2 linked regions of the Anolis sagrei genome follow. The protein of the gene in region 1 interacts with the protein of each later gene in a biochemical or structural test. Links are inferred from orthologs where the notes say so. Each region holds a gene or a part of one and is shown on either strand. Other genes may lie near its edges. The genes, in order: ABCC4 and MPP1.

The links.
Region 2: the proteins of ABCC4 (region 1) and MPP1 form a complex in vitro, tested with the Homo sapiens proteins (2 studies listed by BioGRID and IntAct, with this or other methods). The link is inferred for Anolis sagrei from reciprocal best matches to the Homo sapiens genes ABCC4 and MPP1.

What each region holds. Positions count from the first base shown.
Region 1 is NC_090023.1:126,646,806-126,662,945, reverse strand, and holds the start of ABCC4 (ATP-binding cassette sub-family C member 4), read left to right. Parts: upstream 1-8,431; 5' UTR 8,432-8,541; coding exon 8,542-8,618; intron 8,619-16,140. UniProt on the Homo sapiens protein: ATP-dependent transporter of the ATP-binding cassette (ABC) family that actively extrudes physiological compounds and xenobiotics from cells.
Region 2 is NC_090030.1:15,261,985-15,278,124, reverse strand, and holds the start of MPP1 (55 kDa erythrocyte membrane protein), read left to right. Parts: upstream 1-7,219; 5' UTR 7,220-7,456; coding exon 7,457-7,561; coding exon of another isoform or gene 7,562-7,565; intron 7,566-16,140. UniProt on the Homo sapiens protein: Essential regulator of neutrophil polarity. Regulates neutrophil polarization by regulating AKT1 phosphorylation through a mechanism that is independent of PIK3CG activity.

The sequences.
Region 1 (16,140 bases):
GAAATGCACTAGGGGTGAGTGGTTCTCTGAAAAAGGGGGGAGGGTGATCGATGCCTCCAAGTTTGCCTTTTCTCTCTCTCTCTCTCTCTCTTTCACTGGAAAGGAGAGGGGAGGGAGAAGGGGAATAGCTTGTACAAAAAGTGACCCCTTTGTCCCCCCCACCCCTTGAAATCTAGGAGGGGAGAGGTCTGACCTGTGCTTGTTTTTTTCTTTCTCCTTTTTGTGGGAGAACCCCCAAATGTCCATTTTGGGGGGGTTGCCTGTACCTTTTTTTCCTTTGTCTCCTGTTGGCCATGCTTCCCAGGGTTTCCAAAAAGATTTCCTCCTTCCCTCCTTCCTCCCTTCCTCCCTTCCTTTGTTTGACCCCTTTGTTCCCATTTCTCCCTTGGAACCTGGAAGAAAAAAAGGGGCTGATCCAGATTTGTTATTTTCCCTCTCTTTCCCATTCTGGGAAATGCAAACAAGGGGAGGGGGGAGAAGGGGAGGAAGTTTCAGCCAAGACTTGTGTTCTCTGGCATGTTTCTTTCTTCTGTGTAGATGGGGGGGAGGGCACATCACTCCTTCCCTTTTCTCTCCCATCTCTTCTCTAGAACTACAAATCCCCACCTCACCAGAGCACCCCACTTACTTTCAAAAGCTAGATCACCCCCTTTTGCTTTCAACTTCTCTTTCTGACCACCTTTCCCTTGGCCTTGGGGTTTTCTCCTTCCCTCTTGCAAACAGAGGGAATTCTACCCCTCTCACATCTTCAATCTCCCCTTCTTTTCTGCGCAACTACAAAACCCATTTTTTTTCAGGGGCAGTCACCAATGTCCCTGCCTTTCCTTTGTTTTCTCTTTACTCCCCAACTCCCCCTTTTTTTTTGCTTTCAAACCCCTCCTCCCTCTCTCCTCTTGCAAACAAAGGGAGGTGTAGGGGGGGGGACCTTTTTCCTGCTCCTGTTTCCTTTTGCCAAATAAAGTTTGCTGGGTTTCTCTCTCTCCCTCCCTCTCTCTCTCTCTCTCTCTTCTCCCTCCCCTCCCATCTTCTAAGAAGCCAGTATTCTGTAAATTCTTTCCTCTATCTCCCAGAGAAATCCTGCTGCTCCCTCTTACCTCCTTCTTCTCAAACCAAAGGAAGAGATGTTCCAGAAGCATTCCCTCCTGACATTTCACTCACATCTATGGTTAAGTCTTTCTCTTACATACACAGTCCCTCTGATGCTTTTTTCCTTCCTGGCCCTTCCTCCCTCCCCTCTCCCTGAGCACATGTATGTGTATGTCTAAATTATCCCATTAACTGCCTTAAATATGAGGGGGGCGTCGCGGTCCAGGGGTCCCCTCTGCGCAGTGAAGAGACCACCGGACATCAGATCGAACTGTGGGACCCATAATCCACTCCTGCCGCTGAGGACAACTACCTGGGTGAGGTGAACAATGGGAGGTCTGTGGACTTTCCTGTGGGGAACCCAGATGGCACAGGAAGATCCTAGGAGAACAGGACCAGACCCCATGCCGCCCAGAAGAGACAGCCCCTCCTAGAGGCTGATCTGAGCCCCCACGGGGGAATGCCATCGCAGGAGGAGCAACCAGGATCCCACAGCAACTGCCGTGAAGGAAGGAGGCCCTGCCCGTTCCAGAAGCTGTGCAGAGGAGTGGCCCAAAGGAGACCACTGACGTCCCCACTAGGTATGAAAGTTTTTCCCTTTGTTTCCCCACTAACTACCCTTGGGCTGGGAAAGGGGGGGTGGGAGGGGGCTGTAAACCTTCTTTCTGACTGTCCTAGACACTACCCCTGAGTCTCTGTGATGATGGAGAGCCGGACCTGTCTGCGGTCACCAGGAGGCGCCACGCCAGAAGGAGTAGCAAGGCTGTGCCCCATCTTCTCCCTCCCCGAAGTGCCAAGGGAGGAGCCAGCGCCCCCAGGAGGCCTGAGGACCACTGCCAGATGGGAGAATTCCACCATGTGCCATCCTCCTCCATTGGGAACTCACCCGGGACCCCTGAGTGCTCCATGCTGACTGCCATCACAGGCTCCACCATCCCCTGCCTCCACCGTCTTCACCTTCTTACTTCAGTCTTTTTTTCTTTCTCCAACCCAAAGAACACTCTGCCACTGGTCTCTCCCACCCTGCTGGGTCCTGCTGTTGTTGCTTGAGTTGGGCCCCAAAATAATCAACAGAATACAATCTAATCAGTCTAGAAAGAGGCCCTGGGTGCTTGGGGGGATTGTCGAGGCTTGGGAAAATGAGTGTGACCATTTTCCAGCCTCGAAGGGAGGATTTGATGCGGAGCATCTCCCCCCCAAGTATTTGTAGTTCGCCAAGGGCCGGACGATGGATTCTGCCGCTTCCTGACCCAGCACACATAACTGGGTTCCTGTTTCCTCTTTGTGAATTCTCTGGCTTGTGCACTGGACTATGGACTCTGCTACTACCCAACCCAGCTCCCCCTTCAGCTCCAGCTCCTGTTCCTAGAAGGAGCCAATCTTCTGTTGACCAACCTGGACCTTGGACTGATCTTCTGATGGCCAGCCTGATGCATGGACTGGCCCCTGCACCCAAAACCCTTCCGTCCAGACTTCTAGTTCTTTCCTCTCTCTTTTTATGAAATGAATAAAATATTTTCTTATTACTGTGGATTGGGGTTGGGATGGGTGGTGGGTGGTGATATATGGAATGCCTGTATACTGGTGATGCCTATGGTTTATGAATATGAAATATGTAGCCCCTATGAACTCCTCTGTATCCTCACCCCCTTGACCCTCACCCCACAAGAAAACCAGCGTGACCAGGAACTGCCTGGGGACAGAGCCCAAGCCTCTTTCCCCCAAATCACCCATTGATTGACTCATTTTGCATGGACAATGCTGCTGGCCCCAACCCTAGCCCTCGGAGCATGGCCAGCGAAGGAACAAGGGTCAGCAGAGCTTCGGAAAAAGAGACTGATTAATTCACCCAGATATTGTTGACCCTCCGGGTGGTCCGATATTGATCTAGCCTATTCAAATTCCCTGCCAGACTCATCAAGGACAGGAAAGCCTTTGTTTGTCAAACATCTGGAGACATTTTTCCTTTGTTTCGCTGAGCACATGGCATTCCTTTGTCTGCAGATTCCTTTCCCAGATTCCTTTGTGCTCCCTCATCCCGCCCCCATTCCTCCTGATTGGCTGTCGCCACCATGTGACAGAGGTCTCCCCATTGGATCCTACAGACCATTGGAGTTTCCTGATTGGTACAGAGGCGCCAGGGGCGGGAGGGCTGCTTCCCAGGTGTCCGCCCATCACCCAATCACAGCGGGGAACACCTGAGGGGCCGGGGCAGAAGGGTTGAACTCTGGGTTTTCAAAAATTGTATAAATATGCCTGCATCACTGTACCCCAGTATGCTTATGGTGGAAATATCCCTGTAACGCATCCTTTTCAGCTGAATCGCAGAAATAAACGCTTCGGTCACTGGATACCTCTTCAGCCTCTGGTGGGATTAATTCTTAATATTTTGCGCTTTGGATTGGCTTTTGCTGGCAGCTCACCAAGGTCAAAGACCCCCTTTGCGGTCTTCTGGGGCCTCCCTCGCTGGGAAAGCCCCCCAAAAAGAGCTCGATATCATTTTCAGCCCACTAGAGGGGGTCGCTTCCTTAGAGACGCCTCGTTGCGTTTGGAAGAGACCCCTTGCAGCTGCTTGGAATTCAGTAAACTGCTTTTCTTGGATGAATTATGTTGTGCGTCCTCTTGATTCCTGCCTGTGCTCGCTCACCGGTTGCAAGCCAAGCTTTGGCTGAGGGCCCAATTGGGCAAAAGGGTCTGCTACAATTCTGCATTATAGAATTAATGCAGTTTGACCCCTCTTGACCTGCCATGGCTCAATGCTGTGGCAATTGTAGCCTTACATGGTCTTTTGCCTTCTGTGCCAAAGAGTCCTGATGGCTTACCAAACTACAACTTCCATTATTTCACAGCACTGAGCTGTGGTAATTAAAGTGGTGTCAAAGTGCATTGATTCTACAGTGTAAATGCACCCAAAGTTCTGCCATGGACAATATTATCAATAGGTCCTGTGTTGTTGTCCTTGGAGAGGAACAATTTGGGGAAGTCAGTCGTCCAGGCAGGAAGTGTTAATAGACTGCCTGCTCCTTTTTAGAGATTTTCAAACAATTGTGGTTGCAATGAGAATGCAGCTTTCATTGTTTTGTCTCATTTGCCAAAGATATATCAACAGCAATCATTAAAGGCATTGCATGCACATTTGGGAGGATCTTTCAAGGAAGAGTGGCCATCCCTCAAGGAAACATTAAATACAATTTAATAACAGAAAGGCTGTCACAAAAGAAGTCTTTTCATAATTTAAAGCTTGCTGTCTCATTTTTTACAAAGGCCCAAAGAGAAACTACCATCAACTGCTAAAGCCATATTGGAATATCAGATCTTACTAACATATGAGAGAAACCTTATTGTAGCCGTTCGTCCACATTTGCACTTTCGACTTTTGTGGATTAGATTACTCTATGTAACACGATTTTAGTTCTTAGCTCCTCATGCGGGGACATGAGAGAAGCCTCCCCAAGGATGATAAAAACATCAAATCATCCGGGCGTCCCCTGGCCAATGTCCTTGCAGACGGCCAATTCTCTCACACCCGAAGCGACTTGCAGTTTCTCAGGTTGCTCCTGACACGACAAAAAAAGGTTCTTGGGTTATAAATATCATTTCTTAATTGGTTCTGTGATTAAAAACATGGGAAAAGTTTATTAAACTGCAAAAACGTTGGTTTTGTGAGACATCCTGCAGCATATTTTGCTATTGTTTTTCAATGAATATCTCACAGGGCTGGGCTTTAGCACAGTGGGTTAAATTGCCAGTTGCAGAAAATCTTGCAGATCGAAAGGTTGACAGTTCAAGCCTGGGTTGGGGTGAGCTCCTGTCAGTCCAGCTTCTGCTCACCTAGTATTTTGAAAACAGCAATGTTAGTAGATAAATATGTATCGCTTTGGCTGGGAGGTAATAAAAGGCACCATGTGGACATGTCGGCAATTCAATCAGGAGAGCGTCTGGGGACAACAAAGCTCCTCGGCATGGAAGATGGAGCAACAGCATGACTCCATGGCCGGAGTCAAGCACTGCTTCCAGATGGAAAAAGATGGGAAGCCTTTACCTCTCTTTATGTACTTTCTGCCTTGGTTAATTGTATAACGGCATTGAATGTTTGCCGTATATGTGTACTGTAATCTGCCCTGAGTTCCCTCAAGAAGATAGGGCAGAATATAAATAAAGTATATTAATATTATAGAGTCTCAATCAATTCAACTTAGTTTGTGGCATTCATGAAAACGAAGATTCTGGAGTATAACAGCTAATTGCAAAGTAAATACTGCACAACTAAACAGGAAATAACACTTTCAAACCAGGCACAGAGTTTTGTTAAATAGTGTTATTCATGGATTTGATTAAAAATATTATCTCTGTGAATTTCAAGGTCCTTCAATACAATCCTGTGGTTGGTTTACAGTGGATATTGGTTCTAGATTAATTTTGGAAGATCTGGAAACTCCTAGAGAGATTTGCTCAGGTTAAAAAATAGTAATTTGAGCTTCTTTACTTTCCCAGTGGTCCCGTACCTCTATCCCCTACGAATGTGGAAGGGTGGCTCTATTACATACTGACAAATATTTGCAAGGGGAAACCTGTTGTGCCACTTATTCCCCACATCACAATTATGATATGATGATAACAAATATGGGGTATGGATCATGTTGGTACAAGAATGCAGGTAAATATCACACAAAATGTGCTGTGTCTGGTTATATCTTAATTTGCAATTTGGACATTTCTTCCATGTTTCCCCTTTGTATTGATATCTAAAGACTTGTAGCTCTTGTCCCAAGTTTCCAGTTCTCCCATGAGTGTTGCATTACCACAATTTTGATTCCCGAGCTGTAGAAATATTGAAGCAAACCTTTTCAGGAAGTTATATTTCTTTGGTGAAAAACTATCTGGGGTCTTGGGCAAAAGTCTAATTTTTTGTATATCTTCCAGTAGTGCTGTTTAGATATCCAGGGCCCATCTAGAACAAACATTTTGGCATTCATAACTATTCCTGGCCCCTCTGTGTCCTTGTGGTTTACTTGTGTCCTTTCTTCCTTCGCAATCTCATGCCGGAGGCTTAGTTTGTGTACAAAAAACTTGACATTTCTCTGAGGCCCCCATCCAAGGACATGAAAACCTGTTAGTTTTGTTTTCATTACTCTCATCGTGTTTTGCTCTCCGTCGTAAGGTTCACTTTTTCAAGCTCTGCAACCATCTCCTCTGGTTTCCTGATGACTTTTTTGGGGGAAGGAAGCAGCTGCAAACTCTTTCATCAAACGCAGTTTTGCTTGAACAGCCTGCAATTGTTGTCTAAAGGCAGACACTCTTCTTTACTGTGACAACTGTGGTTGCATCAATTTCATATGTTCTCCAGCAGTCACTTCACCACTAAACCACTAAGCCAAATGGAGTCATAGCACTGCCTGGCTCAGTGCTATGACACCTTGGGAGATGTAGTTTTGCAAGACCTTTAAAGTTCTCTATGAGTGCTGATGCCTCCTCAAACTACAACTTCCAGGATCCCAGAGCATTGAGACAGGACAGTTCAAATAGTGTCAAACTGCAGTAATTCTAGCGTTGATGCATCCTTAATTTTTAATTGAAGGATGCAGCTAAACCAGGCATGGGCAAACTTCGGCTCTTCAGGTGTTTCAGACTTCAATTCACACAATTCCTAACAGCCTACTGTGTATACAATATATTATATTATCAGCACAACACAATACTAGTATTATACATTACTATATTGCACTATACCACTATAGTAAAGGTAGGTAAAAGTTTTCCCCTGGCATTAAGTCCAGTCGGGTCTGACTCTGGGGTGTGGTGCTCATCTCCATTTCTAAGCCGAAGAGCTGGCGTTGTCCGTAGATACCTCCAAGGTCATGTGGCCAGCATGACTGCATGGAGTGCCGTTACCTTCCTGCTGGAGTGGTACCTATTGATCTACTCAAATTTGCATGTTTTCGAACTGCTAGGTTGGCAGAGGCTGGGAGTGAAAGCGGGAGCTCACACCGCACCCTGAATTTGAACCTGCAACCTTTTGGTCAACAGGTTTAGCAGCTCAGCTAAACCCACTGCATTGACCCACTGCGCCACTGGGGGCTCTCTGATATAGCACTATACTTTATAAGGAAACACAACATACAAACTATCTTCAGACCCACCAAGAAAATCCAACAAATGCTACGTTCAGCAAAGGACAAGAGGGATCCTCTCACCTCTGCAGGAGTCTACCTGTACCATGCAGCTGTGGACAAGTCTACATAGGGACCACCAAACGCAGCATTGCCCAAACACAAATCAAGGAACATGAAAGGCACTGCAAACTACTTCAATCAGAGAAGTCAGCCATAGCAGAGCACCTGATGAACCAATCGGGGCACAGCATATTATTTGAGAACACAGAAATGCTGGACCACTCTCACAACCACCATGTCAGACTACATAGATAAGCCATTGAAATCCACAAGCATGTGGACAATTTCAACAGAAAGGAGGAAACCATGAAAATGAACAAAATCTGGCTACCAATATTTAAAAAAAAACTCTAACATTACAACAGCAAAACAACAGAGGGGAAACAATCAGGCACATCTAATTACCTCTCAACAAAAGATTGCCCCAGGCACTACTAATCAAGGTGGTCAGTTGAAACATTCACACCTAGCTCCAACAGACAAGAGTTCTTTGCCCCACCCTGGTCATTCCACAGATATATAAATCCACTTTATTAGTTCCAATGGACCTCACTACCTCTGAGGATGCTTGCCATAGATGCAGGCGCAACGTCAGGAGAAAATGCCTCTAGAACATGGCCATATAGCCCAAAAAAAACGTACAACAACCCACTATATTTTACCTTTACTTATAATGGTCTTTCTTTGCCCATGTGGAGAAACACCTTCTAGCAGCTCATGAAGCAAAAGCACACTCCAATCTGTCACTTTGTGCTTCTCTCCAAGCGCCTGTATAGCTCATGCCTGAAAAATGTAACAGTAACCAAAAGTCCCAGACTCAGCTAGTTTCCCCAATCAGCTTGTACATCTTATTTTACAGTTGACACACACACTAACTGATTTCTTTACATGCTCCAACAACTGTTATTATTATGATGCTGTGGAAGGTTGCAGTCTGACAAGACCTTTAACCTTCTCATCCCCAATGATTCAATGGCATTGAGCAGAAGGCATTATAGTGGAGACACAGTGTATCCACTCTTCAGTGTAGAGATGCAGGCAGCGTGCTTCTTTTATCTCTACCTGCCTGTCTCCGGGGCTCCCCCTAGCGGCGACGGCTGTCCCTGCCGGTGTCAGCTTTCCCGGAAGCGCCCTCCCTCCCTCCCTGCCTGCTTGCCTGGCTCCTCCCTGCAGCCAGTGGCAGCCCTTGCTTCCCGGCGAGGCTCCGCTTCCTTTCTCCCGGCTCACACCACCCCGATCGCAGCGTGTCCTTGGCGGGGAGAGCCCTCTTCCTCCTGGGCTCATGGAGGCGCCCTATTCCCGCGGGCAGAAGGAAAACCCGCTCCGCCAGGCCGGCTTATGCTCTCGGATCTTCTTCTGGTGAGCCTGGAGGGTCCTGACTTGGGAGGATTCCTTCCCTGTTGCAATATTGAGCCTAAAGGCGAAGTGGATATCTATATCTGAGCTTATATTGGATATAGATTATATAAAACCGCGCGCCAGGCAGTCATGCCGGCCACATGACCTTGGAGGCGTCTACGGACAACGCCGGCTCTTTGGCTTAGCAATGGAGATGAGCCCCAGGGCTGAAAAAGTTGGGATCAGGGAAAAGTTGAGCATCTACACCAGCCATGGGCAAACTTGGGCTCTCCAGGTGTTTTGGACTTCAACTCCCATGATTCCTAACAGCCGGTAGGCTGTTAGGAATCATGGGAGTTGAAGTCCAAAACACCTGGAGAGCCCAAGTTTGCCCATGCCTGATCTACACTGCACGTTGACACCACTTTATGCTATGGCATCCCTGGGAGTTGTAGTTCCACAAGGTGCTGGTGCCTCTCCAAACTACATCTCCCATGTCTCCATAGCCTTGGCAGATAAAATGGTCTCGATCTGCACCCATTCTAGTGTAGATTAGATGCACCTTGTGCCAAGTCTGTCCCTGACCTCAGGGCAAGTTGTAATTCACTTTCTCTCTTTATCTGTTGGTTCCTTTGTCTTCAGGGCAATGCTTTCTTGGAGGAAATGGGCTTTCTGGGCTTGGCTTCCCAAGCAGGGCCTGCCTAGCGCCAGGTCTACGGGAAATGATTCATAAATTCTCATTGGAACTTCGGTGCTTTCTTCCAAGATCAAAGAGGAGTGTGGAGACTCCTAAATCTGTCAGGATTCTCTAGGCTTCCGCCAGACCTCAGGAGTGAGGCACTATAAACATTTTTTTTAAAGTTGAAGATACAATATTTTATTTCAGGGGGAGGCTTTAAAGTTGGTAAATGGGACAAAAAGTGCATCTTCTCTGTAGAATGAATGCGTTTTGACACCATTTCAACTTCCATGAGGTCATGGGAGTTGTCGTTTTGCAAAGTCTTTAGCTTCTCTGCCAAACTGCCAATCTTAGGAATTTTTGTGTGTGTCAGGAGCAACTTATTTATTTATTTATTATTTACTATATTTGTATACCACCCTTCTCTGCCCTCAGGTGACTAAGGGTGGTTTACAATGGCAATGATTCAATGACCAAAAACACCATAAAACATTTAAAAACATAAATAATTGAGAAACTGCAAGTTACTTCTGGTGTGAGAGAATTGGCCATCTGCAAGGATGTTGCCCAGGGGACGCCCAGATCTTTTACCATCCTGTGGGGGGCTTCTCCCATGTGCCCAATTTTAGGATTCCAAAGCATTGAGCTTGGCAGTTAAAGTAACCTCAAACTGCATCACTTCCGCAGTGTAGATGCACCCAAAGTGTGTATAGAAAGCTGTGACACTGTACCGTTGAATTAAAATGTTATACAACTTAAATTTAGTAAAGTCATCAGGCGTAAGTTATTTTATTTGAGTGAAAATCCATAATTATTCATAATAATAATAATAATAATAATAATAATAATAATAATAGGGTTGTTGTAGGTTTTTTCAGGCTATATGGCCATGGTCTAGAGGCATTCTCTCCTTACATTTCGCCTGCATCTATGGCAAGCATCCTCAGAGGTAGTGAGGTCTGTTGGAACTAGGAAAAAGGGTTTATATATCTGTGGAATGACCAGGGTGGGACAAAGGATTCTTGTCTGTTGATTCGTGTTTGGGCGCTGCATTTGGTGGTCCCTGTGTAGACTTGTCCACAGCTGCATGGTATACGGTAGACTCCTGCTGAAACTAGAGGATCCCTCTTGTCCTTTGCTGAACGTAGCATTTGTTGGATTTTCTTGGTGGGTCTGTAGATAGTTTGTATGTTGAGTTTCCTCATCAGCTTCCCTATGCGGTCAGTGGTTCCCTTGATGTATGGCAAGAACATTTTTCCTCTGGGTGGATCTTTGTCTTTACTCTCGTGGCTTGTTCTTGGTCTTGCAGCTCTTCTGATGTCTGAGGTGGAGTATCCATTGGCCTGGAGAGCCCAGTTGAGGTGGTTCAGTTCATCTTGGAGGAGGTGGGGTTCGCAGATTCTTTTTGCATGGTCTTCCAAGGCTTTAATGGTGCTTCTTTTTTGACTTGGGTGATGGTTGGGGTTTTTATGTAGATATCTATCTTTTTATGTAGATATCTATCTGCCTCTAGACCATGGCCATATAGCCCGAAAAAACCTACAACAACCCAGTGATCCCGGCCATGAAAGCCTTCGACAATACAATAATAATAATGTTTATTATTCAGGAGCCCCCAGTGGCACAGCTGGTTAAACTGCTGAGTTGCTGAACTTGATGACCAAAAGGTCAGCGGTTTGAATCCAGGGAGCGGGGTGAGCTCCTGCTGTTAGCCCCACTGAAAGATCGGCAGTTTGAATCCAGGAAGCGGGGTAAGCTCCAGCTGTTGGCCCCAGCTCCAGCCAATCTAGCAGTCAGTAGATGCAAATGTCAGTAGATCAATAAGTACCGCTTCTGTGGGAAGGTAATGGTACTCCATGTAGTTATGCTGGCCACATGACCTTGGAGGTGTCTATGGACAACGCTGGCTCTTTGGCTTAGAAATGAGATGAGCACTCCCTGATGGCTCTTTGGCTTAGAAATGGAGATGAGCACCACCCCGCAGAGTCGGACACGACTAGGTTTAATGTCAAGGGGAAACCTTTACCTTTATTTATTATTCGTCAGTCCTTTTGGCTCAAGGAGGGGCACAGCATAGTAAATACACCTTGTGAAAGCACATATTAAAAGATAGTTGAAATGCAACAATTAAAGCATATATACACTTATTGATATACATGAAACAAAGGTCAAAACACAATAAACATAGAATGTGATTTTAACATTCATAGTGAAGATTGACTGGGTTGGCCTGTTGCACTCAGAACGCCCCATTTCTGCTTTCCTCAGCAGAAATTAAGAGATTTCTTAATATTTTATGGCCAAATTCTGATTTAATTGGGATTTATAGTCAGGCAGGTGAGTGTAGGGAGAGTGAGTGTGATGTTGAGGTTTGACATTTGAATCAAGACTTAGGGATCTCATTCCGCCATGGAAACCCACTGGGTCACTTTGCATAAGCTGCACTCTATTAGCCTCCGAGGAAGGCAGTGGAACTTTTTTTGGCAGAGGCTCCTTTTTTGGAGGCTTTTAAACAGAGGCTGGATGGCAATCTGTCGGGAGTGCTCTGAATGTGATTTTCCCGCTTCTTGGCAGGGGGTTGGACTGGATGGCACACGAGGTCTCTTCCAATTCTATAATTCTAATACCCTCCTCCCTCACCAAGAAAAGTACAGAATAGATAGTTTCTCCGTAGAGTCACGATAAATTGGAAGAACAACAAAGTGGGCACAGAATTGCAGCTTTGAATGGACTGCATCTTGTTTTGGAGGAACAAGCCGGTACGATTAACTGTCTAGAAGAAAACTGGTAGTATCCAGGTGATTCAACGAAGAAAGAGGCAAATTCATTGCTGGAATTAAGTCAGGTTTCCTAGTTTATGATCCACAAACTTCCTGGACAAGGGTTCATGCTCGCTAGTTAAACTTACAGCACAATGGTTTATAGGTTTTTTTTTAAAAAAAGCCTCTAGTTTCTAGGATCAAAACCTCACATTGAGATCATGCAATGTGTAAGCGCATTCCTTTCTAGACTTATTATCGGTAGAGAGATAAAGACCAGTCTGGTTTGATTCTCTGCATTCTTCTTCATACTGGGCCTCAAATTCAGTTACGTATAAGAGAAAAGTGTCGATGTAACACACTGCTGCTGTAGTCGGATATCAGAGTGCAATATTGTTATGAGTTATTGTGTATACATTGACTTTTTTCCCTTCTAAGATAATTCTTCTATCCTTGCTCACTTAAAATGTTTTCAAGCAATGTTTGGTTTCTCCATCTGATGGCAGTGAGTCTTATTTTTGCAGTGGCATCAATTCTGTATGCACTTCAGTAGTCACTACTCCTCTAAATTACTCATGTCATAGGAGATCCCTTGTGGCCGAGCATGATTGCTTTCCAAGTGTAGGGTCTTGGCAGTGAGTCTGTAGGTGGCTATAGAGACCTATTCTTGATTTGCATGCTCATTTGCAGTCAGGACATTTGTTTCCAGATGGAAGACGGTCCCAACAAGGGTTGGCTTGATGTGCCTTCCTCTTGACATGTTTCTCCCTTTCGCTCTCTGTTTGCTTCCTAAAGTAAACTACTAATCTATATGAATACAATGGGCCCTTGGTATCCACTAAGCTTTGGCTCAAAGCCTCCTTTGGATACTAAAACCCCTGGATGCTTCAGTCCCATTCTGTGCAATAGCGTGGTAAAATAGTATCCCTGACAGTAAAGGCAAGGTTTGCTTTTTGGATTATCTTGACTATTTTCAATCAATGGGTGGCTGAATCCGTGAATGAATGCATAATCTGTTGACATGAAGAACAGGCTGAACTTGCTGCCACCCACCTGGCTCTTTGCTTGCTGGAGAGTCAGCCTTGAGTTGAAGTGGGAACCTGAAGTTGTCCCCAAAATGGATTTAGTTCTGCCTTTTTCCTTGGGATCAGAGTAGATGGGCATGAAGAGAGCATCTATTCTGAGGAATATATAATATATTTTTATTTATATTCCGCCTATCTCCCTGAGGGGACTCAGGGCAGATTACAGTACACATATATGGGAAACATTCAATGCCATTATACAATTAACAAATACAGACAGGACATAAACAGAGGTAAAGGCTTCCCAACTTTTTCCATCTCCAGCATCTGGAGACTGTTCTTGACTCCAGTGATGGAGGGGTGCTGTCGTTCCATCTTCCATGGCAAGTAGCTTTGTTGTCTTTAGACATTATCCTGATCAAATTGCCAGCATGTCCGCCTTTTATTACCTCCCTGCCAAATGGGTAGCTATTTATCTACTCACATTATTGTTTTCAAACTTCTAGGTGAGCAGAAGCTGGGCTGATAATGGGAGCTCACCCCAGCCTGAGTTTGAACTGTCTACCTTTTGATCGGCAAGATTTTCTGCAACTCTCGGTTTAACCACTGTTCTAAAGCCTGGAGACAACGCATTAACTGACATGGCTCAATGCTGTGAAATATGGGAGTTGTAATTTTACAACGTTTTTATTCCATTCTCCCAAAGTGGGTTGGTGCTTTCCCAAACTACGAATCCCAAGATTCCATAGCATTGAGCGAGGGCAGCTAAAGTGGTGTCAAACCGCATTCATTCTGTGCCCTTCCGTATTTTTGGGCCATAACATTGGGCTGCCTTACAAACTAGATAATAAGGTAATATCTGTACAGTACTTTGAACACTTGAAAATGTTGTGTAACTCCTGGGTATAATCTCCTGATTTGGGAGGGAACACGTTACAGGTAATTGCAGGTTATAAATACTATAACATATAATTTTTGGAAGTAAGTTGGGCATGCTTCTTGTGGGAAAAATTGTAAAGTAGTTTATTAGGGAGGCTGGAATTCAGCATGGGACTCACCTCTTTGTAAGTAAACTTACATTTTGGGGAAATAGAATTGAGTAGTTTTGCAGTTTCTGCATTCACTTAAGAGGTTCTGTGACTTTACAGTGTACAGACGTCTGCTGCTGACCAGATTTCTATTTTGAAATGCATTTGTGTACAAATAGAATGAAAAAACACCTTTAGAAGACACTTTAGAAACACTCCTAGTAAATAACATGCTATGTAGTATTTTGGGGAGTCTGGAGCACTTCCACACGTCATAGTAGTCCTATGAGATAAGTAGCCTTGAAGGATCTAATTCTTTGCTAATTTTATTATTAGAAGGATCAACAAATAATTTTTGCAGTTTTCTTCCCATAATAAGACTATAGTTTTACACTGAGAGGTTCTACAGGTGGAGATTTATTTGAAGTTCAGGACTAGTTCATATGTAGTTTGGGTTGCTGTAAGTTTTCTGGGCTGTATGGCCATGTTCCAGAAGCAGTCTCTCCTGATGTTTCACCCACATCTATGGCAGGCATCCTCAGAGGTTGTGAAGTATATTGGAAATTAGGCAAGTGAGATTTATATATTTGTGCAATGTCCAGGGCGGGAGAAAGAACTCTTGTCTGTTGAAGGCAAGTATGAATGTTGCAATTGGCTACCTTGATTAGAATTTAATGGTCTTGCAGCTTCAAATCCTGGCTAGCTGCTGCTTGGGGAATCCTTTGTTGGGAAGTGTTAGCTGGCCCTGATTGTTTCCTATCTGCAAATCCCTGTTTTTGAGAGTTGTTCTTTATTTACTGTCCTGATTTTAGAGGGTTTTTAAAATACTGGCAGCCAGATATTGTTCATTTTCATGATTTCTTCCTTTCTGTTGAAATTGTCCCCATGCTTCTGGATTTCAGTGGCTTCTCTGTGTAGTCTGACATGGTAGTTGTTAGAGTGGTCCTGCATTTCTGTGTCCTCAGATAATATGCTTTGTCCACTTTCTGTGTAGGAAACATCATTTTCTATGCAGAATATACTGTCTCAGCTCAGTATACTGAAGATCATTCACTTGATCTGATTTGGCCCTTATATAGTTGTCGTGTAGGAAAGATGCTGTGGAACTGGAAGGCATGCTGACCCTCTTTTAGGCATTTTAATATCAGAATAGAGCAACCGCACTAGCTCTGGCTAAAAGGGGAATGGAATGGAAAACCTTTACTTTCCTTTGCAGCTCCTGGCAACAGAGCTTGGAAAAGCTACTTCTTTGGATTCATTTCCCCAAATTCCTTAGTCAGAAGTTTTGGAAGATGTCGTCCAAAATTGGTAACATTTCCAAGGTCTGGCTGGCCAGCTGCTCATATAGGGAAGATTATGCAGCAGTGTTTAATGTACAAGGTGCCAGTGATGTATTAATGGCTAGAAGTGCATCTTAGGTCATAAGTCATGGCAGGTCTCTTCCACTAAGTGAGTGCTGGAGGCTGATTACTAGATCCTTGTCAGATCACTCCTGGAAATGCATCTGTCTCCCTTTTGTTCCTTATCTATGACTTGTATGTTTTCTAGCACAGTCCATTTTTTTTTGCTTCTGTTGTATCTGATAATGTGTACCCTTGTGCTTGTTTACTTTAAATATATATTCCAGTAAGATACACAATTCTGCAAATGGCTTGCAGCAATCCTGAAATGGGTATTGATTAATAAAATACAGTAATGGAACCATTCTGCAGTGTAAACCTGTGTGTTCAAAAGTGGACCTGGACAATCTGTCCAGGAAGTAAACAGCTTAATGTTGTGAATTATATGTTGTCTGGAATACAAACATACAAAAGCATAGAAACATTAAAGGCTTAATGTATTGTCGAAGGCTTTCATGGCTGGAATCACTAGGTTCTTGTGGGTTTTTTTCGGGCTAAAGAGCCATGTTCTAGAGGCATTTCTCCTGACGTTTCGCCTGCATCTATGGCAAGCATCCTCAGAGGTAGTGAGGTCTGTTGGAATTAGGACAATGGGTTTATATATCTGTGGAATGGCTGGGGTGGGGCAAGGAGCTCTTCCCTGCTGGAGCTA
Region 2 (16,140 bases), on another chromosome or scaffold:
ATGGCACCCCATATTTCCCACTCATCTCTGCCTAATACTAGAACCGGTTTCTTTCCGGTTTATGCTGTTGCGTTGAACCCTGGACTTCTGACCCAAGCCCTTCCCTGATTTCAGGACAGAACAGCCTCCTACAGTTCTGAGAAACAGACTTTGTTGTCCATGACTTTGCTATGTGGGCATTGCGTATCCTGAGCTGCTCCGGCCCAAGCTAGACCGAGCCCCAGCCCATCCGATGGAGAGTTCAGCCAGCCTGCTATTTTGGTGGCAGGCTTCAAATAACGTCCTTTGAGGAAGAGGGAAGCCGGTCTGTTTTGAAATGCGGCACCCAGAGAACTCCAGGGAGGCAGCTCAGCAAAACACATCTCCAGTGTCAAAGAGAGCTCCAGACCACCAAAGCAACTTGAGGTCATCAGGAACACCGTAATAATAGCTTTCGGTGTTATTTCTGGAAATGTCAGTGGCAGGTTTGAAATAAATAGGGATCATCAGAGAAGCCTGCTTCCCCCAAATGTGCCCAGACTGGGTTAGATTTCACTCTCTGTCAAAGTGGCACCATTTGATTTTTCTTTGGAATCAGATTTTCAGTATTGTGTGGTTTGGAGCTAAATGAATAAAGAACACTGTCTTCACTACCCTTCTAAGTGTATAAATAGTGGAGTATAAGAACCAGGAGATGCTTAAATACCTTAAAGGTACCAGATCTCTTTTGATCAATGAGCCCTGGTTAGAACTTCGGTTGAAGACCACCAACGAATACCTGGTGCTGTTGGATGTATTTCAAAGGAAGCAAAGGGAAAACTACCTTTGAGTATTCCTTGCCTAAGACATTCCTATGAAATGTATGTGGTTGCCACGAGTCAACAGGCAACTTGAAGCCACAAACATATAGAATCCAAGGATCTTAGTCCAAACATATTCCACAACCATGCTCCTTAATCTCACTGGATTCACCTGAAATTCATAAAGTTGTGTGTGTGCATTTTGCAGTATTAATTGTAAAAATATACAGAGCAATTAATTCCCACTGACTTTACAAAAGACCTGCCCTTGGTAGGAATGGAAAGCCTTTACTTTTACCTGTGTGTCTAATTGTTTCGAGACATTGAATGTTTGCTTAGTGTCTCTATATTTGCTGGAATGCACCCTGAGTCCCCTCAGGAAGATTGGGTGGAATACAAATAAAGTGTTGTTATTATTATGTTATTAAATGCCCAGAGTATAGATTAGCCCAGTTGCCTATATTCTGGATACTTCCTACGAGATGAGAGTTTAAATGTTATTAACTAATACTACACCAGTATAGATGCTATAATATTTTTAAAAAATTACTTTGGATGGGATAGCAATTAGTTGTCCATGACAGAAAGGATATTATTATTATTATTATTATTATTATTATTATTATTATTATTATTATTCCAGAGGTGTCTCATGAAATTATATTTCATTCTAATAACAGTATATACACTACACATGTAATAAATAATAATAATAATAATAATAATAATAATACTTTAATTTATATTCCACTCTATCTCCCCAAAGGGACTCAGGGCGGATTCCAAACATAAAAGGCAAACATTCAATGCCCGAATACAACAACAATACATCCATATTAACAAAATGTATACAACCCAACATATAAATATGAATTATAACTTAACTAAAATTAAATTTAAAAAAAACATAGCCTGTTTTAACAGACATAAGACAAAACACAAATACATACATATTGGTGTGTTGTTTTTTGTTTGCTTGTTTGTTTACAGTATTTTTATTCCTCCCTTCTTACCTCGAAGGGGACTCAGGGTGGATCACAGAACACATATACAACAAACATTCAATGCTGTTATACACAGACAGGACAGACAACAGTACAGATAGTGGTATATAGACATTTTTCATCTTTGGCATCCTAGAGGTTGTGCTCAGTTCCGGCCACAAGGGGGTGCTGTCACTCCATCCTCCATGTCGAAGAGCCTTGTTCACAGACTTCCTCCTTTTTTTATCGCTGGCATTTTCCTTATGGTGTCATTAAAATACCTCTCCACTTAAGCAGTACCTATTTATCTACTCACAGTTGTTTTCGATCTGCTAGGTGGGGAGTGAGCTGGGCTGAAGGTTAGGCGCTCACCCCTGACCTGGACTTTGAACTGCCAACCTTTTCATAGAATCATAGAGTTGGAAGAGACCTCGTGGGCCATCCAGTCCAACCCCCTGCCAAGAAGCAGGAAAATCGCATTCAAAGAACCCCTGACAGATGGCCATCCAGCCTCTGTTTAAAAGCTTCCAAAGAAGGAGCTTCCACCATACTCTTGGGAAGAGAGTTTCACTGCTGAATGGCTCTCACAGTCAGGAATCTCTTCCTAATGTTCAGATGGAATCTCATTTCTTGTAGTTTGAAGCCATTGTTCTGTGTCCTAGTCTTCAGGGCAGCAGAAAACAAGCTTGCTCCCTTCTCTCTATGACTTCTTTTCACATATGTATACATGGCTATCATATCTCCTTTCAGCCTTCTCTTCTTCAGGCTAAACATGCCCACCTCTTTAAGCCGCTCCTCATAGGGCTTGTTCTCTTTTAATTGGCAAGATTTATGGCAGCTGGTGGTTAACCTGCTGTGCCAAAGCCTGGCACTGTTGTTGTTGTTATTCCAAGTGGTCTCATGAAATTGTATTGTATTATAATGGCAATATATACACTATACATGCACATACATACATATTGGTGTTGTTGTTGTTGTTGTTCCCAGTGGTCTCATGAGATTCTATTCCATTCTGGGTCCTTAGTAACTATAAGTGAGGCATCAATTCAACAGATGCAACCCATTTTAACACTGCAACATAAATGCTGGGAAAATGTACACAGACAAGCTGGCAACCTTAACAGGATTTTATTGATTTAGGGGTCTGTGTCTCCTTTCTCTTTTTACTTTCCAGAATTCTCATAGATTGAAGAGGATCTTCCAGAAGTGATCAGCGTCTTTTGATTACCAGACCCAGGAATCTCTCCGTTGAGAAGCCCCACTTTGCGAAGAAAGTCTTGGGGAGCTTGGAAAAGTTACTTTTTAGGACTATAATTTCTTTAGCCAGCAAGGACACTGCTCGGCTGACTAGGGTTGTTTTGCTTCTCTAAATGCAATTTTTCAGAAGGAGGCATATTACCCTTTCTGTTATTGCAAAACAGTTGCAATAACAGAAGTTCTGTCACTGTCCGTCACTTTGCGACAAACAATGTTGTTTAAGATGGAGCAATTCTGGTGTGGACAAGAGTGAGTATCTGTGTTTCAAAGATAGAGATATTTGAACAGGCCAGTAAAATAAAAATGTTTACATTTACATTACTTGATGTAATCAATAAAATGTCTGCTGTTTTGACTCTCTGTCATTTGTTGAAATGCTTTAGAGCAACTCCAGATGGATTGAAATGTTCCAGATTTTGGGTTGCCGTGAGTTTTCCAGGCTGCATGGCGATGTTCCAGAAGCATTCTCTCCTGACGTTTCGCCCACATCTATGGAAAGCATCCTCAGAGGTTGAGGGATCTGTTGGAAACTAGGCAATAATAATAATAATAATAATAATAATACTTTATTTGTACCCCGCTACCATCTCCCCAAGGGACTCGGTGCGGTTTATATATCTGTGTAATGTCCAGGGTGGGAGAAAGAACTCTTGTGCATTTGAGAAAAGTGCAAATGTTGCAATTGGTCACCTTGATTAGAATTGAATAGCCTTGCAGCTTCAAAGTCTTGCTGGTTGCTGCCTAGGGGAATCCTTTGTTAGGAGGTGTTAGCTGGTCCTAGGGTCAGCTAACTCCTCCCAACAAAGGAGTTCCCCAGGCAGCAAAAACCAGGCTTTGAAGCTGCAAGGCCATTCAATTCTAATTAAGGTAGCCAATTGGAACATTCATACTTGCCTCCAACAGACAAGAGTTCTTTCTCCCACCCTAGACATTCCACTGATATATCAACCCCACTTGCCTAGTTTCCAACAGACCTCACAACCTCTGAGGATGCCTGCCACAGATGTGGGCAAAACGTCAGGAGAAAATACTACTGGAACATGGCCATACAGCCCAAAAAATGCTCAGCAACTCCAGCAATGAAAGCCTTCAAAAACACATTGTTCCAGTTTTTGTTCCTGTTCTTTCCAATTTTCTTCTGGGGTCCATTCACATTGAATAATTTCTATGAGCTGCTGGCACACTAGTAATTATCCATGCTATTTTAAGATATAACAAACCATTTTCACAGCCAAGACCGTTTAAAACCTATTAGAAGACAGAATACAAAAGATCTGTATTTCAAAGCTGATCACAGGGTGTATCTGCACTGCAGAATTAATACAGTTTGACACTATTTGAACTGCGACGTCTCAGGTGCTGTTTCCACTGCCATACAATGCAGATGAACAACACTGAACTGCATTACATAGTAGCATAGATTCATATAAGCCAACTTGATGCAATTAATCTGCATTCTGAAACTGTATTATATGGCAGTGTAGATAGGAGCCTCAATGTATTGGAATCCTGGGAATTTTGTTTATAGCACTGAGCCATGGCACTGAAAGTGGTCTCAAACTGCACTAATTCTATAGTGTAGATCAATGTTCCTCAATCTAGAAGTCAGGACCCCGTGGGGGGTGTTGTGAGAGGGGTGTCAGAGGGGTTGCCAAAGACCATCAGAAAACGCTGTTGGTCATGGGGTTTCTGTGTGGGAAGTTTGGCCCAATTCTATCATTGGTGGGGTTCAGAATGCTCTTTGATTGTACGTGAACTACAAATCCCAGAAACTACAACTCCAAAATGTCAAGGTCTATTTCCCCCAAGTTCTACCACTGTTCACATTTGGGCAAATTGAGTATTCATGCCAAATTTCATCCAGATCCATCATTGTTTGAGTCCACAGTACTTTCTGAATGTAAATGAACTACAACACCCAAAACCCAAGGTCAATTCCCACCAAACCCTTCCATTATTTTCTGTTGGTCATGGGAGTTCTGTGTGCCAAGTTTGGTTCAATTCCATCATTGATGGAGTACAGAATGCTCTCTGATTGTAGGTAAACTACAAATCCCAGCAACCACAACCAGGGGTGGCTCGTCCATTACGCGAAATAAGCGGTCGCAGAACACTTTTTTTGCCAGGGGCGCAGAGGTGCCTCTGTAAATGCCCCTTGACCGCCGCTTGAGGAGCAGCTCACAACAGCCCTAGAAGTCCGGGGGGAGCCTCGGCTTTCTTGCCTCACCGCTGGGCGATCCTCTTCCCAAAGGGGCCGGGCCCTTGAGCCTCGCCTAGCCCCTCTCCTTCCTGCTCCACCCAGCCACAGGGTGCGCGAGCAGAGCCGGCACTCAATCGTTTTCCGCGTTCGATCCCTTCCCCATGATTGGCTCCCTTTCACGATCCCCCGGCACTCCACCCGCCTCCTCTCCTCTCCCCAATCTGTGGGTGGGCCAAGGGGTGGAGCCGCTGCGCCTGGCCCGCTTCAGGTCCGGCCGGCATGTCTGAAGACCCCAGCGTGCGCACCAAAAGTCGCCTCTTCTCCTGACTTTCTCTTCAGCCATTGGGACCGAGAGAGAGAGAGAGAGAGAGCCCCTCCGGCTGGAGGTATCTCCCACCTCCGCTCCCTCCTTTGTTTTTGCACCTACCTACAGGAAAGGTGGGCATCTCCACCTCTCTCTCTCTCTCTCTCTCTCTCTTGGTCCCACTGGCTGAGGAGAAAGTCAGGAGAAGAGGTGACTTTTGGTGCACACGCTGGGGTCTTCAGGCACGCCTCCAGACCCAAAGCGGGCCAGGCAAGGGAGCAAGTGCAGCAAGTGCAGTTACTGGGATGTATAGTTCACCTACAATCAAAGAGCATTGTGAACTCCACCAATGATGGAATTGAACCAAATATGGCACACAGAACTCCCACAACGAACAGAAAATATATATCAGTGATTGATTTGAGGGGGGAGGGGGTGCCAAAATACTGTTTGCTTACCATTGAAAATTATCTAGGGCCGCCTCTGATGGCAGGAACACTTTTCCTCTGGGTGGGTCTTCATCTTTACTCTCGTGGCTTGTTCTCGGTTGTCTTGCAGCTCTTCTGATGTCTGAGGTGGAGTCTCCATTGGCCTGGAGAGCCCAGTTGAGGTGGTTCAGTTCATCTTGGAGGAGGTGGGGTTCGCAGATTCTTTTTGCACGGTCTGCCAAGGCTTTAATGGTGCTTCTTTTTTGACTTGGGTGATGGTTGGAGTTTTTATGTAGATATCTATCTGTGTGTGTGGGTTTTCTGTAAACGGTGTGACCCAACTGTTGATCTGGTTTGCCCCTTTTTTCCCAGTTTCCAGCAGACCTCACTACCTCTGAGGATGCTTGCCATATAGATGCAGGCGAAACGTCAGGAGAAATGCCTCTAGAACATGGCCATATAGCCCGAAAAAACCCACAAGAACTGAATAATAATAACTACAACCCCCAAATGAGAAAATCAATCCTCCACAACCCCACCAGTATTCAGATTTGGGCATATTTTGTGCCAAATTTGGTCCAGTGAATGTATATACAGGCACGCCTGGCGGGGATGAGGGATAGGGCCTTCTCGGTGGTGGCCCCCCGGCTGTGGAACGCCCTCCCTGTAGACATCAGACAGGCGCCCTCCCTTATGACATTCCGCAAAAGACTAAAGACATGGTTATTTGAGAGGGCGTTCGACTAAGTGCTACAATTGGCAATGATGACTGGAACGGAATATGGATAACGAGATTGGTTATGATTCTACGATGAGACGGCGCGGATGATTTAGTATAATCGTATTATTGATTGTTATGTTGATATTATTGTTGTGATATTCCCTTATTGTAAACTGTTTTTATATGTTGTACACCGCCGTGAGTCGCCCTAGGGCTGAGAACGGCGGTCAACAAATGCAGTAAATAAATAAATAAATAAATAAATATACATCCTGCAGATCAGATATTTACATGACGATTCATAACAGGAGCAAAATGACAATTGTGAAGTAGCAACGAAAATAATGTTGTGGTTGGGGGTCACCACAACAGGAGGAGCTGTATTCAGGATGCCAGAGGATAGAGTTCAGGCGGGGTCAACCTGCGTTCACTGCAGAGGGTGTAGATGCAGCCGTGGGCGGCAGGGGGCGCTGCCGCGTTGCGGGCAAAGGCAGCGGCGCGGCGGGGCTCGGCCGGGGTCTCCTCCTCCTCCTCCTCCTCCTTCTCCTCCTGCGTTGCCTTTGCGCCAAACGGAGGCACCGGGAGGGGCGCTTCCCGGGCTGCCTCCTCCCCGAGAGCCGCCTCCAACCCGCCTCCCTGCCTGCCTTCTTCCCCGGAGCCCAGCCCCGCCGCAGCCCTTTCCGCCTCGGGACGCCCCAGGGATCGGGGCCAGGAGAAGAAGAGAGCAGGGCTATCCCCATCCATCCCTCCATCCATCCATCCCTCCATTGATCCACCGGGCAGCATGACGCTCAAAGGCGGGCAGGCAGGCGACGGCGCGAGCCGCATGAGGACAGTCCTCTCGGACCTCTACCTGGAGCACCTGCTGCAGAACAGGCCCAAGGCCGAGGCGAGTTGGGATGGGGTGGTATGGAGAAGGGGGGGGGGGTCAAACTGGAGGGAGGAGGGGGTGCACGGTGTGTGTGTATATGTGTCCCCACTTTCGCCTTTTCCTGTTTGGGGCTTCCCATGGGGAAAAAAATGCAAATGCATGCTAATTTATGCTAATAATGCAAACATATGCAAATGCATGCTAATGCCCGTATATAAAAACACACCACTTTTGCATCTCCCTCTATACAAATAGGCCCAAATAATGCAAAATAATAGGTTCTTGTAGGTTTTTTTCAGGCTATAGGGCCATGTTCTAGAGGCATTTCTCCTAACACCTCTCAACAGAACATTTTCCCAGGCTCAGCCAAGCCTGCATGCTAATACCCGTATATAAAAACACACCACTTTTGCATCTCCCTCTATACAAATAGGCCCAAATAATGCAAAATAATAGGTTCTTATAGGTTTTTTTCAGGCTATAGGGCCATGTTCTAGAGGCATTTCTCCTAACACCTCTCAAGAGAACATTTTCCCAGGCTCAGCCAAGCCTGCATGCTAATACCCGTATATAAAAACACACCACTTTTGCATCTCCCTCTATACAAATAGGCCCAAATAATGCAAAATAATGGGTTCTTGTAGGTTTTTTTCAGGCTATAGGGCCATGTTCTAGAGGCATTTCTCCTAACACCTCTCAACAGAACATTTTCCCAGGCTCAGCCAAGCCTGCATGCTAATACCCGTATATAAAAACACACCACTTTTGCATCTCCCTCTATACAAATAGGCCCAAATAATGCAAAATAATAGGTTCTTGTAGGTTTTTTTCGGGCTATAGGGCCATGTTCTAGAGGCATTTCTCCTAACACCTCTCAACAGAACATTTTCCCAGGCTCAGCCAAGCCTGCATGCTAATACCCGTATATAAAAACACACCACTTTTGCATCTCCCTCTATACAAATAGGCCCAAATAATGCAAAATAATAGGTTCTTGTAGGTTTTTTTCGGGCTATAGGGCGATGTTCTAGAGGCATTTCTCCTAACACCTCTCAACAGAACATTTTCCCAGGCTCAGCCAAGCCTTCAAATGCTAATGAAGGTGATCAGCTGAAACATTCACACCTAGCTTCAGCAGAGAGCTCTTTGCCCCACCCCAGTCATTCCACAGATATATAAACCCATTTTCCTATTTCCAACAGAACTCACTGCCTCTGAGGATGTTTGCCATAGATGCAGGCGAAACGTCAGGAGAGAATGCCTCTAGAACATGGCCCTATAGCCCGAAAAAACCTACAAGAACCTAGTGATTCCAGCCATGAAAGCCTTCGACAATACAATGCAAAATAATCATTTATACTAATACTAATATATGCACATACTATATGTGCCCATATATACGTAATATGCCACTTTATGCAATTGTCCATCTCTAGATAAATAGCCCCCCCCCCCCCCCAGTGGCGCAGTGGGTTAAAGCACTGAGCTGCTGAGCTTGTTGATCGAAAGGTCACAGGTTCGATTCCGGGGAGTGGCGTGAGCTTCCGCTGTCAGCCCTAGCTTCTGCCAACCTAGCAGTTCGAAAACATGCAAATGTGAGTAGATCAGTAGGTACCGCTCCGGCGGGAAGGTAACGGCGCTCCATGCAGTCATGCCGGCCACATGACCTTGGAGGTGTCTATGGACAACGCTGGCTCTTCGGCTTAGAAATGGAGATGAGCACCACACCCCAGAGTCAGACATGACGGGACTTAGTGTCAGAGGACTACCTTTACTTTTACCTTAGATAAATAGGCCTATTTACGTAAAAATGTCTTATTTATGCAAATGTGCTAATTCATGCAAATAATGCTAATATATGCAAATCACTCTCTCTCTCTCTCTCTCTATATATATATATATATATGCCCATTTATGGAAACTTGCCACTTTCTGCAATTGTGTCCATCTATACAAATAGATCCATGAGGTCAGAAAGAATCGGAGACGACTGAACGAATGAACAACATACAAATAAGCCCACTTATGCAAAATACCCATTTATGCAAATGTATTTATGCAAATAATAGTAATATACAGGAGCCCCCCGGTGGCGCAGTGGGTTAAACCCCTGTGCCAGCAGGACTGAAGACCGACAGGTCGCAGGTTCGAATCCGGGGAGAGGTGGATGAGCTCCCTCTATCAGCTCCAGCTCCTCATGCGGGGACATGAGAAAAGCCTCCCACAAGGATGGTAACACATCAAAACATCCGGGCGTCCCCTGGGAAATGGCCAATTCTCTCACACCAGAAGCAACTTTCAGTTTCTCAAGTCGCAACTTGAGAAACTGCAAGAAGCAACTTGCAGTTTCTCAATATGCAAATGCATGCTAATATATGCAAAAAATACTATATGTGCCCATATATATGAAAACATGCCACATTATGCAATTTTGTCCATCTATATACATAGGCCGGTTTATGTAAACTACCAATTTATGCAATATATGTCTTATTTCTGCAAATATTCCTAATATATGCAAATACTTAATATATACAAGTACATGCTATATATGCCCACATATATATATAAACATGCCACTTTATGCAATTATGTCCTTCGATACAAATATGCCCATTTTTGCAAATATGCCCACTTATGCGAAATCCTTATTCATACAAATATGTCTTATTTATGCAAGTATTACGAATATATGCAAATACTAATACATACAAGTGCATGCTATATATGCCCATATATATATATATACTTATACAAATACCACTTTATGCAATTATGTCCATCTATACAAATATGCCCATTTTTGCAAATATGCCCCCTTATGCGAAATCCTTATTTATGCAAATATGCTTTATTTATGCAAATGTACTCATACATGCCAATCATGCTGCATGCCTTTAGCTCTTTCTCACAGAACCTGGTTGAGGGAGGCAGGGAAATAGGGAATCTCATCTGAATGAATGAATGAATGAAAGAATGGAGTGTCATCCTGGGAGTTGTAGTTTGACCAAGTCTGTCTCCTTCTCTGCCTCGGCCCACTACAACTCTCAGGATTGTGTAGTACCGAGACATAGATGTGGGTTGTCAAACGGTGTCCGTGCTACATGCGAGATGCACTCTTCTCAATGTGATGCTTTGGGTTACAAGCATGCTCACTTGCTCTCCATTTTTAGGAGGACTGAATGCATCTACAGAAGGCTCAGGCAAAATTAGGTCCTCCGGGTGTTTTGGACTCCAACTCCCACCATTCCTAACAGCCTCAGGCCCCTTCCTTTCCCCCCTCAGCCGCTTAAGCGGCTGAGGGGGGAAAGGAAAGGGCCTGAGGCTGTTAGGAATGGTGGGAGTTGGAGTCCAAAACACCCGGAGGACCTAATTTTGCCCATGCCTGATCTACACTTACTACTTGAATGCTTGGGAGCCAGGATAGTTATAGTTTGAGACCCTGTAGTGGATCCTAGGCATGAAAGAGATGTGTTCCAACAACCGTAATGTGTCTGCTTGGATTGTTATCCTTGGAGGGAGCTTTTGGTGCTTTGCTGCTGCGGAAGGAGCCGGCTCTTGTTTGTGCCGCAAAGCTGGTTCGAACTGGAAGTGGCTGTCGCTTGGGCTGCGGAGCCGAACCAATGGGAGCACGAGAAGCCTCCTTGCGCAAGGCAGGCCACATTCATCTCTGTCGGTATCGAGTGCAGATTTTCACCCTCGTTTCGGTTGAACCTGGGACATAACTCTCCCCAGGCAGCCGCTTTTCCCTGAAGCCACCGTCTCTGCAAAACATCACATTATCTAAAAATCACAGCAGTGTGCGCGGGAGAGATACAATTCTAACTTCATTAGGATCCCAGTGAAAAGTGGGACAAAGTTACTTTTCAAAAGCAGGGCAACACAATAGAAATAATGCTACATTATTGGTGCAATGGATAACATTTAGTTCCCAACCTTCCTAATGCCGCGACCCCTTAAGACAGTTCCTCGTGTTGTGGTGACCCCCAAATATAAAATTATTTTTGTTGCTACTTCGTAACTGTAATTTTGCTCCTGTTATGAATTGCAATGTAAATATCTGATATGCAGAATGGATTTTCATTCACTGGGCCAAATTTGACACAAATACCCGATATGCCCAAATTTGAATACTGGTGGGGTTGGGGTAAGATTGATTTTCTTATTTGGGAGTTGTAGTTGCTGGGATTCAGCTACAATCGAAGAGCATTCTGAACCCCACCAACGATGGAATTGAGCCAAACTTCTCACACAGAACTCATTTGGGAGTTGTAGTTGCTGGAATTTATAGTTCAGCTACAATCAAAGAGCATTGTGAACACCACCAACGATTGAATTGAACCAAACTTGGCACACAGAACTCTCATAAGCAACAGAAAATACTGGAAGGGTTTGGTGGGCACTGACATTGAGTTTTGGAGTTGTAGTTCACCTACCTCCAGAGAGCACTGTGGACTCAAATAGTGATTGATCTGGACCAAACTTGGCACGAATACTCAATATGCCCAAATGTGAACACTGGTGGAGTTTGGGGAAAATAGACCTTGCCATTTGGGAGTTGTAATTGTTGGGATTTATAGTTCACCCACAATGAAATAGCATTCTGAACCCCACTGATAGAATTGGACCAAACTTTCCACATAGAACCCCCATGATCAACAGAAAATACTATGTTTTCTGATGGTCTTTGGTGACCCCTCTGACATCCCCTTGCAACCCCCACAGGGGTCCCGACCCCCAGGTTGAGAAACACTATTTTACAGTGACCCTTTGGGGTGATGGTTCTCAACCTTCCTAATGCCGTGATCCCTTAAGACAGTTCCTCATGTTGTGGTGACCCCCCAAATATAAAATTATTTTTGTTGCTACTTCATAACTGTAATTTTGCTACTGTTATGAATTGCAATGTAAATATCTGATCTGTAGGATGTATTTTCATTCACTGGACCAAATTTGACACAAATACCTGATACGCCCAAATTTGAATACTAGGCTCTGGTCTAGCATACCTGTTCGAACGTATCTCCTTCTATGTCCCACCTCGGAGCTTAAGATCTTCTGGGGAGGCCCTGCTCTCGGCCCCGCTTTTGTCTCAAACACGTTTGGCGGGGACGAGGGACAGGGCCTTCTCGGTGGTGGCCCCCCACCTGTGGAATTCGCTTCCCGGGGAAATTAGGTCATCGTCATCCCTCCTCACCTTTAGAAAGAAGGCAAAAATGTGGTTGTGGGGCCAGGCCTTTGGGCAATTAAGTTTAAGGACAATTGATAATGCTTGACTATGGCTTGGAAGTGGATTTGGATAAGTGAAGCGGAGTAATAATAATTAGTATATGGCTAAATAAATAGCCACCAGACTGGCAATAGCTACATGGATCCTAAGTATACTGTTTAATCTCTATTTCTTAATGTTCATGTTTTTAGTTGTTATATTTGTTATTTTGTATTTTATGATGCGGCATTGAATTATTGCCAATTGGAAGCCGCCCTGAGTCCCCCTAGGGGTTGAGAAGGGCGGGGTTAAAATGTTTGAAATAGATAGACAAATAAATAAAATAGTGGGGTTGAGGGAGATTGATTTTCTCATTTGGGAGTTGTAATTGCTGGGGTTTGTACTTCTGCTGAAATTGTCCATATGCTTGTGGACTTCAATGGCTTCTCTGTGTAGACACAGCATATTATTTGAGAACACAGAAATGCTGGACCACTCTCACAACCACCATGTCAGACTACACAGAGAAGCCATTGAAATCCACAAGCATGAAGACAATTGCAACAGAAAAGAGGAAACCATGAAAATGAACAAAATCTGGCTACCAGTATTAAGAAACTCCAAAATTACAACAGCACAACAACAGAGAGTAAACAATCAGGCACATCTATTCACCTCTCAACAAAAGATTTCCCCAGGCACTGCCAAGCCATCAAATGCTAATTAAGGTGGTCAGTTGAAACATTCACACCTAGCTCCAGCAGACAAGAGTCCTTTGTCCCACCCTGATCATTCCACAGATATATAAACCCATTTCCCTACTTCCAACAGACCTCACAACCTCTGAGGATGCTTGCCATAGATGCAGACGAAATGTCAGGAGAAAATGCCTCTAGAACATGGTCATATAACCCAGAAAAACCTACAACAACACAGTATATATAATATTATAATACAAATTAAAACAGCATAAAACACAACAAGGCAATAAAAACAACATCATTAGCATCTCCTATATTATCAAGCATTGCCCATTTCTATCGTCAAGTCATCAGGTTTCCTATATCAATTACCTATATCCGTTACTCTGCATTTGTAAACGCTTGCTCAAATAGCCATGTTTTCACTTGCTTCCGAAACCTTAAGAGGGAGGGAGCAGATCTGATCTCCCTAGGGAGGGCGTTCCATAGCCAAGGGGCTGCCACTGAGAAGGCCCTGTCTCTCGTCCCCACCAGAAGTACTTGTGACGAAGGCGGGACTGAGAGCAGGGCCTCCCCGGACGATCTCAAGGTCCTTGATGGTTCGTAAGGGGAGATGCATTCAGACAGGTAAGTTGGGCCAGAACCGTTTAGGGCAGTGGTTCTCAGCCTGGGGTCCCCAGATGATTTTGGCCTTCAATTCTCAGAAATCCTAACAGCTGGTAAACTGGCTAGGATTTCTGGGAGTTGTAGGCCAAAAACATCTGGGGACCCCAGGTTGAGGACAACTGGTTTAGGGCTTTATAGGCCAAAGCCAGCGCTTTGAATTGGGCTCAGTAGCAAACTGGCAGCCAGTGGAGCTGGCACAACAAGGGGGTTGTATGCTCCCTGAGAGCCGCTCCTGATAGCAACCTGGCTGCCATTCATTGGACTAGTTGAAGCTTCCGAACCATCTTCAAAGACAACCCCATGTAGAGCGTGTTGCAGTAGTCTATACGGGATGTAACCAGAGCGTGTACTACCATGGCCAAGTCAGACTTCCCAAGGTACGGGCGCAGCTGGCGCACAAACTTTAATTGTGCAAATGCTCCCCTGGTCACCACCAAAACCTGAGGTTTCGAGCTCAGCAGTGAGTCCAGGATCACACCCAAGCTGCGAACCTGCGTCTTCAAGGGGAGTGTAACCCCATCGAACACAGGATGCATATTGAACTCAGTTTGCAGCCGTTGGATTAAGCTAAGGAGGGAAGTGTGGGGAAGAGAAAAAAATGTGCGGACAATGGGATACCTGCATATGAACCAAATGGGGAAGGTTGATGGCACGGTGTTGTATTGCACAGCTTGTTTGCTTGAAACCAAAAATTGAACTTTGACTTAATGATGCATGAATACACACTTGAGTGCTTAAAAAAAATCTCCACGTCTTCTTGTCACTAGCTTTTGCTCTAAACAAGTTTAAGAATGGACACATGTGCATTGATAAGAGCTATCTTATCCTCTGAAGATATGGCCTTTTCTTTCTTTTATGTACATAGCCGAGTAACTCAAGGACAATGGGATTATCACTAGACGGTCTCAAGTATCACTGTGGGACAAGGCTTGTCTGATAGCTCATGTCTTACACTACTTTAGGGCAGGAAAACTGACATTAGAAGCTCCACAAAATATACAAGCCACAACAGAACGATTTCAATGGATCGGGAATGTACCCAGTTTTAGAAAACTGGCTATTTCAGGCTCTCAGTTTCCCCCCAAATTGTTGTAAAACATGGTGCGCTTTTCTATTTCTCCAAAACTGAAAGATCAGGTGGTTTCTCTCCCTTTCGTTCCAGTCTCTTGTTGGAGAAACAAGTAAAGTCTGACTAAGTGTGACCTTTGGGCCAGAAGGATGGTTTTTAACAGAGCTAATGACTTGGAAATGAACGGCCTTGTTAATGTTTGAGCCTATTAATGCACTGCTTTGCATTTTACTGCAGTTGGGGAAATGTCTCTTTCTTTTTGCGTAATAGCAGAACTGATTACTTCCTTTCAAAACCGTATGTAAAATCTTCTGCTATTTGGCAGGCCCAGATTGGAGATTTGTGACAATTTTTAGATTTATACCTTAGCTCTCAGGAAAAATAAACCTGCATAACGACCATTGTATTACTGGGTTGCTGTGAGTTTTCCAGGCTGTATGGCCATGTTCCAGAAGGATTCTCTCCTGAGGATGCCTCCTATAGATGTGAGAGAAATGTCAGGAGAGAATGCTTCTAGAACAATGTTTCTCAACCTGGGGGTTGGGACCACCGGGGGGGGGGTGTCAGACCATCAGACAACACAGCATTTTCTGTTGCTCATGGGGGTTGAAGTTTGGCCTAATTCTGTCATTGGTAGGGTTCAACATGCTCTTTGATTGTAGGTGAACTATAAATCCTATCAACTACACTTTTACTTACTTACTTAGGCGATCCCTCATTGTCCAAGTAGGATAATCCTCCAGGTTGGGTCTGTAGGTGACTATGGAGCCCTATTCTTGATCTGCATCTTCTCCCACAGTGAGGGCATAGGTTTCCAGGTGGAAGGCAGTCCCAGTTGGGGTTGGCTTGACGCGCCTTCCTCTTGGCATGTTTCTCTCTTTCACCCTCCATTCGTGCCTCTTCAAATTCTGCAGCACTGCTGGTCACAGCTGACCTACAGTTGGAGCGCTCA